Linked DNA regions of Kluyveromyces lactis. The protein of the gene in region 1 interacts with the protein of each later gene in a pairwise test. Links are inferred from orthologs where the notes say so. Each region holds a gene or a part of one and is shown on either strand. Other genes may lie near its edges.

What was found. The genes of interacting proteins can lie anywhere in the genome.
Region 2: the proteins of HCA4 (region 1) and BFR2 interact in binary tests that used the Saccharomyces cerevisiae proteins (3 or more experiments, as listed by UniProt). The link is inferred for Kluyveromyces lactis from reciprocal best matches to the Saccharomyces cerevisiae genes HCA4 and BFR2.
Region 3: the proteins of HCA4 (region 1) and ESF2 interact in binary tests that used the Saccharomyces cerevisiae proteins (3 or more experiments, as listed by UniProt). The link is inferred for Kluyveromyces lactis from reciprocal best matches to the Saccharomyces cerevisiae genes HCA4 and ESF2.
Region 4: the proteins of HCA4 (region 1) and ESF1 interact in binary tests that used the Saccharomyces cerevisiae proteins (3 or more experiments, as listed by UniProt). The link is inferred for Kluyveromyces lactis from reciprocal best matches to the Saccharomyces cerevisiae genes HCA4 and ESF1.

Annotation. Positions count from the first base shown.
Region 1 is NC_006040.1:801,225-805,409, forward strand, and holds HCA4 (RNA-dependent ATPase HCA4), read right to left. Parts: upstream 2,872-4,185; coding exon 559-2,871; downstream 1-558. Other genes in the region: CTK2 (Ctk2p), read right to left, coding at 1-85; PML1 (Pml1p), read left to right, coding at 3,198-3,851. UniProt on the Saccharomyces cerevisiae protein: ATP-dependent RNA helicase required for ribosome biogenesis. Involved in the release of U14 snoRNA in pre-ribosomal complexes. Required for pre-rRNA cleavage at site A2.
Region 2 is NC_006039.1:887,555-891,148, forward strand, and holds BFR2 (rRNA-processing protein BFR2), read right to left. Parts: upstream 2,150-3,594; coding exon 569-2,149; downstream 1-568. Other genes in the region: ERC1 (Erc1p), read left to right, coding at 1-461; ATP5 (F1F0 ATP synthase subunit 5), read left to right, coding at 3,050-3,594. UniProt on the Saccharomyces cerevisiae protein: Involved in endoplasmic reticulum to Golgi transport. Involved in a protein-transport step blocked by brefeldin A, which disrupts the Golgi apparatus and its incoming protein flux. May also be involved for mass growth or cell proliferation.
Region 3 is NC_006039.1:1,673,268-1,676,291, reverse strand, and holds ESF2 (RNA-binding ATPase activator ESF2), read left to right. Parts: upstream 1-1,574; coding exon 1,575-2,456; downstream 2,457-3,024. Other genes in the region: KLLA0_C18887g (uncharacterized protein), read right to left, coding at 1-909; putative GTPase NOG2, read left to right, coding at 2,826-3,024. UniProt on the Saccharomyces cerevisiae protein: Involved in the small subunit (SSU) processome assembly and function, and in the 18S rRNA synthesis. Required for the early cleavages at sites A0, A1 and A2. Stimulates DBP8 RNA helicase ATPase activity.
Region 4 is NC_006041.1:1,888,701-1,892,765, reverse strand, and holds ESF1 (pre-rRNA-processing protein ESF1), read right to left. Parts: upstream 2,453-4,065; coding exon 569-2,452; downstream 1-568. Other genes in the region: CDC40 (Cdc40p), read right to left, coding at 1-242; RTC5 (Rtc5p), read left to right, coding at 2,963-4,065. UniProt on the Saccharomyces cerevisiae protein: Involved in the 18S rRNA synthesis. Required for the early cleavages at sites A0, A1 and A2.

The DNA.
Region 1 (4,185 bases):
CAGGAATGTTATATTTCTGGGATTTCTGTAGTTGTGATTTAGTAAGATACGGTCTGGATAAAATTAAGTCACTTTGATTCGACATTGCAGAGTAGTAATTGGAACTAAAACCCACGAAATTCTACCCTCACTAATCACAGCCTATCTAATACAGGTATATTGGGGTTTTCTTATATTTGACACCAACTTTGGATAGAATAGAACTCTTATCGTTTAGAAACGACAACTTTTGCTTCTTTCTATAATACTACACATACAAAAGCTATTCTTATTTCATTTTAATTTTTCATTCGCAGAACAGGTTTAAAACAAAACTTTTTGAATGAAATTTCCCTTCAAGTAACATGTCATTTTAAACGTTTTGATCTTTGGAAGGTCTGTGGGTGAAATGCTTTGAATCACGAAGCAAGTCGGTAAATGCCAGAGCTACTTTGATGAGGCAATAAATTATTCAAGTGTATTGTCGTAATCCTAAAAGGGAGATGTTATCCTATTATTGGAATGCAAGGTTATCGTCTATTTTTATACATGATTAAATAAGTCAAGCAGTTGATGAATCTAAGATCCAATCAAATTTGCTGTTAGAGATTCCAAATCTTCAAGAGTCTGTGGCTCTTCCACTTCGATAATTCTATCACGTTCAGTAGTTCTTTCTTCCTCTTCCTCATCTTCACTGGAATCAGCATATTTGCTCTTTTTTCTTGGTTGCCTTTCATCTTGAGAATCGTCTTCAGTGTCAGCTCCAGATTGCATATCGTCACTTAGGTTCCCAGTTCCAAGGTATGCTACTGGTTCATCCTCATAATCACTATCCTCCATATCAGCTTCCATTTCTTTTCTCATTGCTTCTAGTCTCTTACGTTTCTTTTCTTGCCTTTTCTCTTTTGCAACCTGTTTATCTTCTACATCAACCTTTGCCATAAGCTCTGCCTCCTTAGACAAGAACTCTTCTTTTTGCTTCTCTGAGTTACCATTTTGACGGAAATCTTGTTCATCTTCTAATTCGTAAACAGGATGAGCTTTACCATCATCGTCAAATTTGACTTTGGTTGGGTTACCATTAGATGCTAATGTTGCCTTCCTTGATAATGCTTTCTTTTGGGCTCTCTTAGATGTTGGAACAAGAAGTTCAGGTAATTCAGCTTCATTCAACTCATGGTCTTGACGTTTAACCATGATGAAATCTTCATCCTCATCATCATGAGCTTGTGCTTTGGTGACATTCAGATAGTGCTCACTTAGCACAGTTTGGTTTTTCCGTTCGAACATCTTGTCATATCTGGTCCTCACTTCAGGTTTGTTTTCTTTAATCACATCACCTTCATCATTTGCCTTTGCTAGGGTTAGGAGCTGTCTTGATGTATTTTTCAACTCCTTTGCCTTCTCTATCGATTTCATTCCCCTCATCTTGATCTTTGGAGCACCTGGTAAACCTAAAGAGTTAGCAAATTGTTCCAATGGTATTTTGTCGAAATGGAAGACTTCTTTGTCTTTTTGAATGTATATCGATCTAACATAAGAAATGAAAGCCTTTTGGCCTAGATATTTCAATTCGGGATCTTTGAAAAGGAGTGATTGTAACTGAGGTTTGATAGATTTCTTTTTTGATTGTTTGATATTTAGTCTACTGGGCTCAATGTTTTTAGTTTTTAATCTTTTCAAGAATCCCTCCTCTTCCTCTGGTGTTAACATAATGAGTGACTTACCTTCTTTACCGAATCTGGCTGCTCTTCCAACTCTGTGGATATATGTATCGACATCCTCAGGACAATCAACCTGGATCACCCAATCAACAGATGGGAAATCAATACCTCTAGCAACCACATCAGTTGAGAATAGACAGACATGTTGCGCTCTGCTGAACTTATCCAGCGTCTCAGTTCTCGCCGTTTGCTTTTGTCTACCATGCAAGTGCATCAAAGATATACCAGGTTGTAATTTCCTGAAAGTTTCATAAACAAAATGCACCTGTTTAGAGCTTGATAGAAACACAATTAACTTAGACTTTAAATGCGATTTTATGAAACTGAACAGAATGTCAAGTTTGTCAGGTAGTGGCACTTCGATATATGACTGCTGTAAAGATTCTGGAGTCGCAGATGAACTATTAGCATTTAAAACTTCCATCGTTCCTACCTGTTTGTAATCTGTCAAAGATAATCTAGCCAAGTCATCCAAACTTTGTGATTGAGTAGCTGAAAACAAAAGTGTTTGTCTTGAAGCAGGCAAATTATTAATAATGGCATCAAGGGTTCTCTTGAAACCCATATCTAGACATCTGTCGGCTTCATCGAGTACTAACAACTGTAAATTTGAAGTATTGAATCCAACGGCTTGATCCATATGCTGTAAGATTCTGCCTGGTGTTCCTATTAGAATGTTAATTCTCGAAATTCTCTCTTTCTCAAAAGTAACATCTTTACCACCAATAACCAAACCGGCGGAGAAGGTAGTGTGCTTACCAATTTTACTTAACACTTCATATATTTGCATGGCCAATTCTCTTGTTGGGGAGATGATCAATGCACCTAGCCCATCCATGTCTGTCCACTTCTCTCTGTATAACTTTTCGATAACAGGGATCAAAAATGCTAGAGTCTTACCAGAACCTGTCTTGGCAGCGCCTAATACATCGTGGCCTTTCAAGGAGAGAGGTATGGACTCGCGCTGAATCTCGGTTAATTTGATAAATGCTGCTTCTTTCAACCCTTTTAGAGTTTGTTCACTAATGGGTAAATCTTGAAACAAATTAGCCTTAGCAATTTTCGGGTTATATTCTTCAACCTTAGTTTCAAGATCTTTGATCTTCTGGCTGTCTCTTTCACGAATCAGCTTACGCTGCTGGGTATTATGCTTTTGTTTCTTGGCCATCTTTAAATGCTCTTTGCAAACCAATTATAAGTTATATTGGCACAGTTGATTAAACGTTTAGTTAAATGATTAAATGCACCAGTTTGCTACTTTAATCAACTTCTCTATAGGTCGATTAATGATACCGCTCAAAGACAAAGTAAACTACTTTTCCTTGAGGTTGAGGTTCGAACCTCTATCTAGATGAGATGAGATGAGATGAGCTCTTCTATTTACCAAAAATTTTCTTTTCTATTTCTTTTTTCCTACAACATGAAAAGCGATGAAATGACAGATGAACCTTATATTGTGAATTGCACAATATATGGAATAAATATGTAAGATATATGGAATATACCGTCATCTATGGAAGCAACGGCGCCAAAAGAATGAGCATCAAACGTGAAGGTAGCAGATATCGATACGATCACGAAACGAAAAGAAGCCGCTATGAAGGTGCCCAAAAAAAAGTAATCTTGCCTATATTTGAGCCATCAGGATTATTGGAACTGGAAAGCCACCAGAAAAAAGGCATACAACTTAAGCATGTAGAGCCCAAAGATGCGATATCACCCCACGATTTCTATAAAAAGCTAAAAGTACCTAAGTGGGATCAAATTCGTTATGAGCTTGTTGTGTATAGGAAGGGCGTCAAGGGTGAAGTAAGTAAAACTAAGTTGCATGATAAAAGTTGCTATATTATCGGTAGAGGATTAGGTCAGAGTCTACGACGCTTCGAATCTGATGGAGAGGAAATTATTCTTGCTGATATCCCAATCCAAGAGGAAAGCTGTTCGAAAGAACATTGTGCCGTACAATTCCGACAAGTCGGTGAATCTTTAATTCCATACTTGATTGATCTTGATTCTTCCAACGGTACGTGTTTGAATGATTCAGCCGTTCCTAGCGCCCGGTATATCGAGTTAAAGAGCTCTGATATTATACACGTATCTGAAGATCCAAATGATTCAGATTATGAGCTCATTTTCCTAGCCGTATGATCTATTCTTTTGTATTTTTCATGTACAAGTCCTTCTTGAGAATCGATTTCTTGAAACCTTATATTATTTGTATTTTATAAAATCGGAAATGTAATTTCTATACATTACAAAACTATGTGAGAAAAAGATAAATCAATATCGATGTATGCTAGAGAATGGAAGAGGTAGTTGGACTCGTTTTAAATATGTTAAACAAGAACTTTTTCTTTTTTTTTTTTTTGCTGCTTTATTCTTCTCGTTGCGTACAAGTCAATGGAACTTTCCGCAGTTGTGTTGTTCCAGACATACGGGTCAGCATCAGAGCTTGTCAAATATAGAAATGACATGCGCAAGA
Region 2 (3,594 bases), on another chromosome or scaffold:
CAGCGTTTGTAGGGATTGCGAATTGTTGTTTGATTTTAACAGGTGACAAGAATTTAGCGTATTTGTTCACTAAAGACAAAGAGGTCGTTGAGTTATATCGTCATGTCGCTCCAATTTTGGCAGTTAACCAATTATATGATGCATTCACAACTTTTAGCGCTGCGATATTACGTGCACAAGGACGGCAGCAAGTTGGCAGCCTGTTAAATATCATAGCATACTATTTTATCGCATTGCCTTTAAGTGGATGGCTAACTTTTGGTAAATTTCAGTTGGGATTAAAAGGGCTTTGGTACGGATGCGGTACCGGGATCTTATTACTGGCGTTTGCTTTGAGCTATTGTGTTTTCAATTCCAATTGGGAAAACATAGTGGAAGAATGCCATAGAAGAGAAAAAGAAGAAAATGAGGTTGACTTAGAGAGTATGGCAAGTAACATGAGCAATATTATCGATGTTTGATTTGTCGATGTCAGTTTGTTGGACATTTTGAATGCCGTGTACATATTTTAATTATAATAATAAACAATAGATGAAAAATAAATACAAGTTGAAGGTCGAACTCCAAATTATCCGAAAATTTGAATATCGTCATTTTTGATCTCTTCGTCTTCCTCGTTGTGCATCGTGTCAGCTTCCAATTCATCGTCTTCATTGAAGTTGATCTTTTGACCTAATAAACCAGCAAAGAATTCATCAATTTGCTCATCCGACCATTTATACCCAGTATTAACTGATGCTTCATAATTGGCAATTGGTTCTTGAATAGAGTAATTTAGTTTACGACCCTTTGAAGCCTTGGTGTCGATGTTTTTCTTGAGCTTGTTTTCAGAGCGAGAAGTGATGGCCAAAGTAACACCATTGGATTGTTGAGAGTTAGATATTTTTTTCTCAACAAGATCATTCAACAAAACTCTGTAAAAATCTTCGTCATCATAGATATATGGGTTTTGGGTAAAATCTAATGCATTGTTATCCTTCCTTCTTGGATCGTAATTCTTTGGAATATCCAAATTATTTTCTTCTTCGATGTCTCCTTCTACGTTTTCCTCCAGTTGCAATTCTTTTAGTAGACCTTTTTGTAAATCTTCATCAAACAACAAAGGTTTAGTATTGCTTCTATTGAGTTTTGTCCTTTTAAGTAATCTTGGCATATCAGCAAGTTGGTTATCCACTTGTACATCAGCTGACTGGTTGATCGCTTTAAACTTGGAGGCTTGCAGAAGAGATTTTCCTGATGATGCAGAAACTTTTGCTGACCATTTGTTAAGTACGGCAGAACGGTATGATTTTAAATCAGAATCCAATGTTACAGTTTCATGTACTAGTTCCTTAAAACTTCTCTTTTTGCTGTTATCGAAGTCAGAAGGGTTCTCAGATTGGTTTATGTGATCACCGATTTGGAATTTATGCCTTACTGTAACACACTGGGTCAAAACTTTCTCTAAAACTTTGAAAGTACTAGTTAGCAATTTGGAGTTATTTTCATCTAGAAGTTCATCCCAAGATTGTTGAGAAAGTGGTAACTGGTTTGAAGCGGATAATGCTTTTTGCAACTTAATTCTAGAGTCTAGAATTTTATCGAAGAATTTATTCTGTTGTAAGATGGCATAACCTTTGGAAGCATCTCTCTGAGCGGAATGTGCTAAATTATTAATCACTTGTTTAGTTTGCGTCTGTACTATCTTGGCCAATTTCTCTTTCTTCATCGCAGTCTCCTCATCTTCCTCTCTATCTTTCTCTATTTCTGACTCGGAAGTGGCTTCAGATTCGGATACATCTTCTGAATCGCTTCTAAAGGATACTGCATCACTCTCTTCAGATCCGGATTCAGCTTCAGACTCACTTTCTCCTTGTTCAGGAGCGTCCATTTCTTCGTCATTGAACAGTTCTGCTCTAGACCCTTTGCTCCCGACGTATTTCTTATCCTTTACGGCCAATCCTTGATCGACCACATTTCTAAGTTTTGACTTTCCTACTGCCACATAATGCTGTTTCTTCAACTCTTCTTCGCTCTCATCGCCAGAACTAACATCTGAATCGGACCCACCATGTTGAAATACACCTTCATCATTCTCAATGTCGAAATCTTCAACTTGTGGTTTATTCGCAATGTCTGCGATTTGTTCGGCCAAAGACTTTTTACCCATTTAATCTGCGTGTATTTTACGTGTACTTCACCGTCCTCACTTACAACTCACTATTGAGTACAGCTGATTTATCCATATAAGAGTCTCTCATCTCATCTCATCTCGTCTCATCTCTCAAACATCAACTTTCTTGAATTTTTCAACTACAAAAAAGAAACTCCAGATTACCTTTTCGGATCTTCAAAAAGAAGAGGAAAATATATAGATCACGTGCTATTATTAAATCACGTGATTGTAAGATAGCGATTCTTAGTCTCAAACTCTCGATGCACCAAATATCCAATACAAATTACTTTTAAGAAGCCTCATAGCGTCTATTAAGGTCAAATATATCTATTAAAAGTGAAAGCATAGTGTTTAATTTCCACGTGACTCGCAACCAATGAAAACACGTCATCGTTTCCTACGACTACTGAGGAACTTAGATCGTGTTTTTTTTTTTTTTTTTTGGACCTCTTTGGCCGGAACAAGAACACAAGAGCAGAAACGAAACAGAGACAAAGAAGAACACATAGGAGGGAGGATCCGATCAAAAACAGAGAAAGTTTTGAAAAAATATAGGTAAAGGAAGGAAAAAAAATTGAAAATTTATTGAACTTTCAATATTTCCACACCTTTAAGAAATAAATTTGTAATTTACAGGAAAAGAAGCTTTCGTTCTACGTTAGCTTATTTGTATTTTTTAAGTGTATTTGCTATTTTGTTAGTGATTCTGCATTGATCAGATTAAGACAAGTCTCTCTTTTCCGATTAGGTGTGTGTTTTGTTATTGCCATTGTACCAAACCTTATCTTAAGCTTTAAACTTCATTTAATCTATTGAGCAAGTTTTCTTCCAATTGTTTGAATAACCATAAAATCATTGAATTATTGAATCAAAGAGACCACTATATACAGAGTCATGTTTTCCAGAGTATTTGTTCGTTCTATGGCAGCTTCTGCCAAGGCTGGTGTTAAGCCTCCAGTGCAATTGTTCGGTTTGGATGGTACCTATGCCACTGCATTGTTCACTGCTGCCTCAAAGACCACTTCCGTTGAAGCTGCTGCTTCCTCATTGAATGCTTTGAAGGAAACTGTTGCCAAGGACACCAAGTTGACCAGCATTTTGGAAAACCCAGCCTTGTCTGCTGAAGATAGAAACATTGTTGTTGACACTTTGTCCAAGAAAATCAATTTGGATCAATCCGTTCAAAACTTGTTGAAGGTTTTGGCTGAAAACAACAGATTATCCTTGTTAGAACATGTCACTTCCCAATTCTCCAAGTTGACTGATGCTTACCATGGTCTTGTGCAAGCGACTGTTACCACTGCTCAACCTTTGGACTCTAAGTTGTTCAAGAGAGTGGAAAAGGCCTTGGCTGCTTCCTCTTTGGTTGGTAAGGGTAAGTCTTTGAAATTGGAGAACGTTGTCAAGCCTGAAATCCAAGGTGGTTTAATCGTTGAAGT
Region 3 (3,024 bases), on another chromosome or scaffold:
TTCGAATTCTGCTTCCACACCAAAGAAAGGTTGTTCCTTAACTTCCACGGTTTCCTCCTCAGCTTCTACTTCTCCCGTAGAACCGATCATAGTCTTGATCGTGGTACATGTACGAGCATTGATGTTCATAGTGACAGACCCATTCAAACCGTAAACCTTCAAAAAGACACTCTTCTCAGTGGCACCGAATGCAGACCCATATGTAAACGTACCTATAACATCCGAGTCTCTGAGCTTTACGCTGGAAAACACTATATCGTTAGTACCAGATTCCTTTCTCAATTGGTTAGAAAACGCAGCAATGCTACCGATGTCCCCCAATAGAGTAGTCAACAACGCAAGTTGATGAACACCACCGTCGGACAAAAACCCACCAATGTGTTCTGGATGTTTTCTCCAACTGGTAGCCAGGTATTCACTCGATGGATAGAAGGGACCAGTGGAATTGTAAGTGAACGCAGCAATTGGACCAATCTTAGCCAATTTCTCTTTCATTATTGGCACACATTCTAAATGTAACCAATTCTCTGCGATAGCAACTGGAAGCTCGGTAGATTCAGCCAATTGAACCAATTTCTTAGCCTGTTCCAAGTTAGCTTCAATCGGCTTTTCCAAGATCACCGGTTTACCAGCTTCTACACTCTTCTTCGCAGTCTCATAGTTGAATTGAACAGGAACCATCACATCCACTACGTCAACGGAATCATCTTGCAACAAATGGTCCAAATCTGCGTAAACTTTAGACTCCTCGATACCAGCAGTGACAGCAAACGCATCTGCTTTACTCTTGGTCCTGTTGAAACATGCGACTGGTTTGAACTTATCGCTGTGCTGTTGGAAAGTGGGCAAGTGCTTGTTTCTTGCAAAGATACCGGTACCTACAATACCAACGTTTAAAGGTGCAGACATATTGTAAAATATATCGAGTGTGTGTTGTTTGTATTGGGGCGACTATAAATCAACAAGTCAAGCCAATTAGATCAAGGATACATGTGTTGTTCATCTATATCGGAAGCACTTCCCCTTTATATATCTGGATTAATCTCTCGAACGGACAAGGTTTTTCCGGTTTCTTGCCATTCGTGTCGGGTTATTATTAATCCAGTCACCAGTTGTCACAAACCGGATAACAGTGGAACGACAACGGCAATGTCAATGGCAATGAGCAATGGCAATGGCAACTCTGGTAGCAAAGCGGAGGGAACTACGCCAAGAGAGTGGGGAGGTTCCTGCTTTGACGTAGTTTTAAGCCGTTTCTATATAGAATATGTATGTAAGACCTGCACACCTCACTGAGAAAGCTGCTCAAGCGTGCAGCAAGAGCAGACATGGATCAAGTTCGCGATCTCCGGCCATACAGGCTGCAAACACCGGCTACAGACCCGTTACTTCATTGTGGTATCGGTCCGTCGTCCAGTACGATTGGTTCCCATTTCTTCTGTACAGTGAGTGCCATACTGAAAAATTTGGAACTAAAGCGATGAGATGAGATGAGATGAGATGAACCATATACATGAGAGAAGAGACAACAGACCACAAGGTTCAGCAGGTTAACTAAGGACAACAATAACACGATGAGCAAGGAGTACAGCGATGTGGATGATTTTGCGTCAGACGAAGAAGAGGACAACCAAGTGTTGATCACTGGGAAGGATGCGAAGAAGAATGTGATTCAGTTTGATCAAGAAGAGGACGAGGAAGAGCAAGAGGAAGAGGACGAGGAAGTACAGGATGAAGAAGAACCGGAGGATAAGGTAGTACAACTCACAGAACAGCAGATAGAGAAAGAAAAGCAGAGACGACTCAAAAAGCTTAAGAGCGATAAGAAGACGAAACACAAGACCGGTGTGGTTTACCTATCGAGGGTTCCACCGTACATGAAACCAGCCAAGCTAAGGCAGATTCTCACAAGATTCGGTGAAGTGGACCGTCTGTTCTTGAAACGTGAAGAGGAGCACAAGCACCAGCAGCGTGTCAAGAGTGGTGGGAACAAGAAAACGATGTTTGAAGAAGGTTGGGCCGAGTTTATCAGAAAGAAGGACGCTAAACTGTGCGCATCGACTCTAAACGGTAATATTATCGGTGGTAAGAAGGGAAATTTCTACCATGACGACGTCATGAACGTTAAATACTTGCCCGGGTTCAAATGGGCCGATTTGACAGAACAAATCGCTAGAGAAAACGATATCAGACAAGCAAAGCTACAATTGGAAATCTCACAGGCCAACAAGTTGAACGCAGAGTTCATCCATAACGTAGAGAAATCAAAGATGGTCAACAAGATGAAACAGAGCAAGAAACGTAACCAACAAGAATCACAGCAGGTCGATGAAGAAGTTCGCAGGACTTTCAAACAGAGGAAAGTCGCTTCGACAAGAGCATCTGCTCCAGATTCTCAGAGACAATCCCAACCGCAATCGAAAGCACTCAACGATGTCATGCATAGTTTATTCTAAGATGACTATATAACACATATATAAAGCATATAGCCAAGCCAAAAGCCCTACAGAGAGTACAACTCATCGCCTGCCATTCCCATGGTCAAAGATCAGGTTTCTTTTTCATTCCCATAGTGTAAGAAAAAGTGAAAAGAAAAAATTTTCCAGCTCATCTCATCTCATCTCATGAATTGGAACAGGAACAAAGGCAGGTTCATCAGTGGTTTGTTTCGATTCAGGTTGATCTCAGTCCAGGCAAGAGACATTCAGTTACTTATTCTTCCATCTGTTTGAGTTTTCGATCGAAATTGAACGTGTTCGTTACCACAAAGAACGAACAAACGAACGAACCAAAGGAAACCTAATTGAAATCTATACCAAGGCACAATGGGTACCGGTAAGAAGGAAAAGCAAAGGAGAATCCGCGAAGGTAATACCAAGGATGGTAACCTTCGTGTGAAGGGTGAGAATTTCTACAGGGACACCAAGAGAGTGCAGTTTTTGAACATGTACAAAGGTGGTAGATCTGTTCGTAATGCAAAGGGTGACATTATCAAGGCTGCTCCGTTGCAGGATACTGCTGCTC
Region 4 (4,065 bases), on another chromosome or scaffold:
TGTGATGCCACTGCATCCTCATCACCACCTAAATCTAAGGAATTAGAAGCATTTGAATCCTTTGATAATTGTTCGATCTCATCGTCACTAGATCCTTGCCATTTTGCCCATGGTCCTTTCCCGTTCCTCCTAAGTCTTTTGGACTTCAATTCAGCCTTTGATGTTTTTAACGATCTCTTAGGCACAGCTACAGATGAGCCATCATCACTACTCTCACTTTCATAACCCTGTACCAGCCCCATTATTCCCTGGATATTATGGCAGTGGCAGAGTCTATCTAGTAAGTTTATCGGTTTGTCCGTGTATTACCTACAATTTTAGATAATCTTTAGAAAGATGAACCTATTTCATATAATGTGATAATGTGCACTTTTTCTTTTTGTTCACACACAGAATATGACGTACAAATCTGGATAAATAAGGAAATGACTTAAAGTTACAGACCATGCCATGATACAGTCGCATGATTAAGTGAAATGATGTATTTATGCTTTAATCAAATGCTGAATATATACATATAAGATGTGGACGTCTTTGGGTTGATATAAAGTGTCCACAAGTTTGCAAATTAGTGTTTTGTTCTTTTGTTCTTGGCCTTAAGTTTTTCAACTAAACCGCCGATCTTATTTATGTCTTTACTATGTTCAGTATTTGCAATTTCGTGGTTACGCTTTTTGCCCCTAGATTTTTTGCTTGAACGTACTGTACGTTCCTTTAAAATCTTCTCCATAGCTGGTGTCTTCTTGAACTCTGGTTGAGTAGGATCAATCGCGAAATCGTGATCTTCAAAGACCTCTTTAAATCTTGGATCATTAACGTCTGGAGTGAATTCATCATCCACAATCTTCTCCTTGTTTTGATACTTGGCCTTTTTGGATTTTTCCTTCTCAGATTTGAGAATCTCATTCATGTTGAAGTGTGCCTTGTTGTTAATTGTTGATTCACCCTCATTTTCATCTAGCATTAAGAGCTCTAACTCTCCCTTTTTCTTATCGTCATCGATGCTGTGAGAAGTATCTTTCTTCTTCTTAAGGTTCTCCTTTAATTTGGCTTCTGATTCCTTCTTAAGCTCCTTGACTCTGTCCTTTCTCTTCTTACGTCTTTCTTTTTCTTTACGTCTAATCTTATCAATGGTGCTTTCCTCTTCGTTATCATTGGTATCTTGTTGGCCAGACTCATCCAGGCCTGGAGTGAAAGTTATTTCCATATCAGCCTCATTATCGTCTTCATCTTCCTTTTGATCAAATAGTGACTTTTGCCCCACTTTTACGGAATCCATTACTAAAGCCTTGAGTTTATTTTTAACTTGATCATCATGCTCAACTTCAGATTCTTCACTATCGGAGGCTAAATAAGCTTTAAAGTCCATTTCTTCAATTTCTTTTTGAGTGAATGCTCTTTTAGATATTTCCACACGGTCTGCAGGAGTTTCATCCCATGTAAGCTTTACCTTGGAATGCTGAAGGGCATCTGTACTGAATTGTGCCGGCTTGTAATTTTTTGGAAGCGAGGTACATTCATCACGAGGATCATCATCCATTTCCATACCATCAGGCACATACCTTAAATCAAAGACATTGGCTGTAGATTCATATTCTGTGCCATCACAGTTTTGATAGATTGATTCGGCTGTCCTAATGTCGCTGCAGTAAACCACGGCATAATAGTATCTTAGACGTTCCAATTGGTAACGACGAAGTGCTTTAGAATCATAGTCCTCTGCGTCTCCTTCCTCATAAATTGATTCGACATTAATCTCATCATCATCTTTATCATTCTTCTTGGATTTCTTTGACTGGAATAATTCTTTTGGAGGACCTTCGATCTCTTCACGTTGCATCCTTTCTTTACCAAATTCACTTGGATATATGGCAATTTTTTGAATCTCTCCTCCCTTAGGCACGAAAGACTTAAATGTGACAAACAAATCAGCAGATTTGACATGATCCCAATCCAGGTTCACTACAGCCAACGTATTTGTGGCATTTCCACTAGCAGGTTTGGACTCTTCTAGTTCGATTTCTTCTGATTCAATGTCACTGTCCCCAGATTCTTCTTCGGATTCAGAGGAGGACTCTTCATCAGAAGAAGAAACGTAATCAGCAGGAGGTTCACCACGAGCTCTATCAACAGATTTTGCATGAACAGCAGCTTCAGCTTCTTGATCATCGCTGCTTTCGGATGAATTAGACTCATCCTCCTTGTCCTCCGGCTTTTCCTTGGTAAAATAACGATCAAAATCCTTTACATCCTTGTTAGCATCCACAATTTTTCTACCATATTTATCAACTTTTGCTTTACGTCTGACTTCTAGATCTTGTTTACTGAATCTATCATCCAATTTGATCTTAAAGTTCTTGGATTTAGTTGACCTAAACTTAGGATCATTATGAATCCCAGAAAATCTTGGATCTTCAGTGATCTTCTCCTTTTTCTCCCCTTTCGAATTCATCCTTTAGTATACTAATATGACTCTAAATTGTTCACTTAGTTGATTTCGTTGGCACGATACCGAAACTAGATGTGCATAAGGTTTAAAATCTTGAACTTACTGATTAACTAGTAGGTGTCGATGAGATGAGATGAGATGAGGTTGGCATAATTTGAAAAGAAAAAAAAAAAACTCTAAAATCAAAAAGAAAAAAAATAATGTTGGTGAACTTCGGTCACGTGAAAAGAGCCAAATACAGATGTAATCGAGCCGTAAAGAGCAATTACAGGTCGGAAGAACTATATGTTTTCACTTTCATATACCATGTATACAGGCTGGCTCTAGTCTACCTTGTCAGGAATTTCTTGCTCCCAACCATTTTCTTATATGTTAACATTTTGTTTCTTTGTGTTAGTACGTAGTCTCCTCTTTTTACATTAAGGTATATTTAAGGATTTACTCTTACACATACTCTGAAAAGGTGCTAAGAAGGAAAGCCATAAGGATAACTGTCACAATAATGTATGCAAAATGGGCCAATCAACTTCTAAAGAGCATGAAAATGCTAGGACAAATGAATCTAAACTAAAAGGAGAATCTTTAATGGATTTTTTCAATGACAGATGCTTAAAACAATTAACTACTGCTGAACTAATTTCGTTCAAGAACAATATTCCTGAGGGCAAAGAACTAAACGATTATGTCGAGGTTTCAGATATTAGCAGAATGTATTATATCCCGAAAGATAGTGCTGTAATGTTATCGGTATTTATGAATATGTTTCATACTCTAGCGAACTTTCCACTTCTACAAGATTCCTACGAAAAGGTTACTTTCAAAACCTTGTTAAAGGCCACGCTATTACTAGTCAAGGAAAGAGCCATCAAGTACACCGATTGGAAAAAGTACAATGATTTGAAAATGCTATTTATTACGCTCTCTTTGGAAAAGAATATCAAAGCTGAACCTCTCATGGACTCTTCGGCTCTATCTGATTGTAAGGATTGGAAAGGGGTCATTAGATCTTATAACGGAACTGATTTTGATGAATTGAAAGTAAATGCAAATAATCTTCTTCACTTTTTGGCATTGATATTGGCTCTTTCTCGCTGCTGCATTTTGAACAATTGTAAAATTGACAATGATGTTTTGGCGAAGAGCTTAGAGGACTTCAAACATCAAGCTCTTAATATTGTACGCACAATGAACCCCGAGATTATATCAATGTCAGACTGTTTGGATTCATCAATCACATATACCCAATTTTCCATGGCCGTTAATGATGTTGCCCCTAATCTTTTAAATCCCTTGAAAATGCTAATGGAACATGTTCTTTATATGGATAGAGATCTCGTAGACGCGGACGTTCTTCAACCAATCTCAAATCCTACTAAAATTGTAAATGAATCTGAGCTATCGCAGTTAGCAACTTTTTTACCGAAGGAGATTGTTTTCTCCAGGTTCCAGAAATTATATGTTGGAAGGGAATCGGGCTTTTCTATGAGATCTTTCCAATCTAAGGTCTTCAAGTGGATGGCACCTACGATATTATTCGTAGAGGGTATGAGAATTCGTGACGAGGACGATGAAGATGGCGATGCTTATGCCGTGAAAAATCCAAGGTATAGAAACTT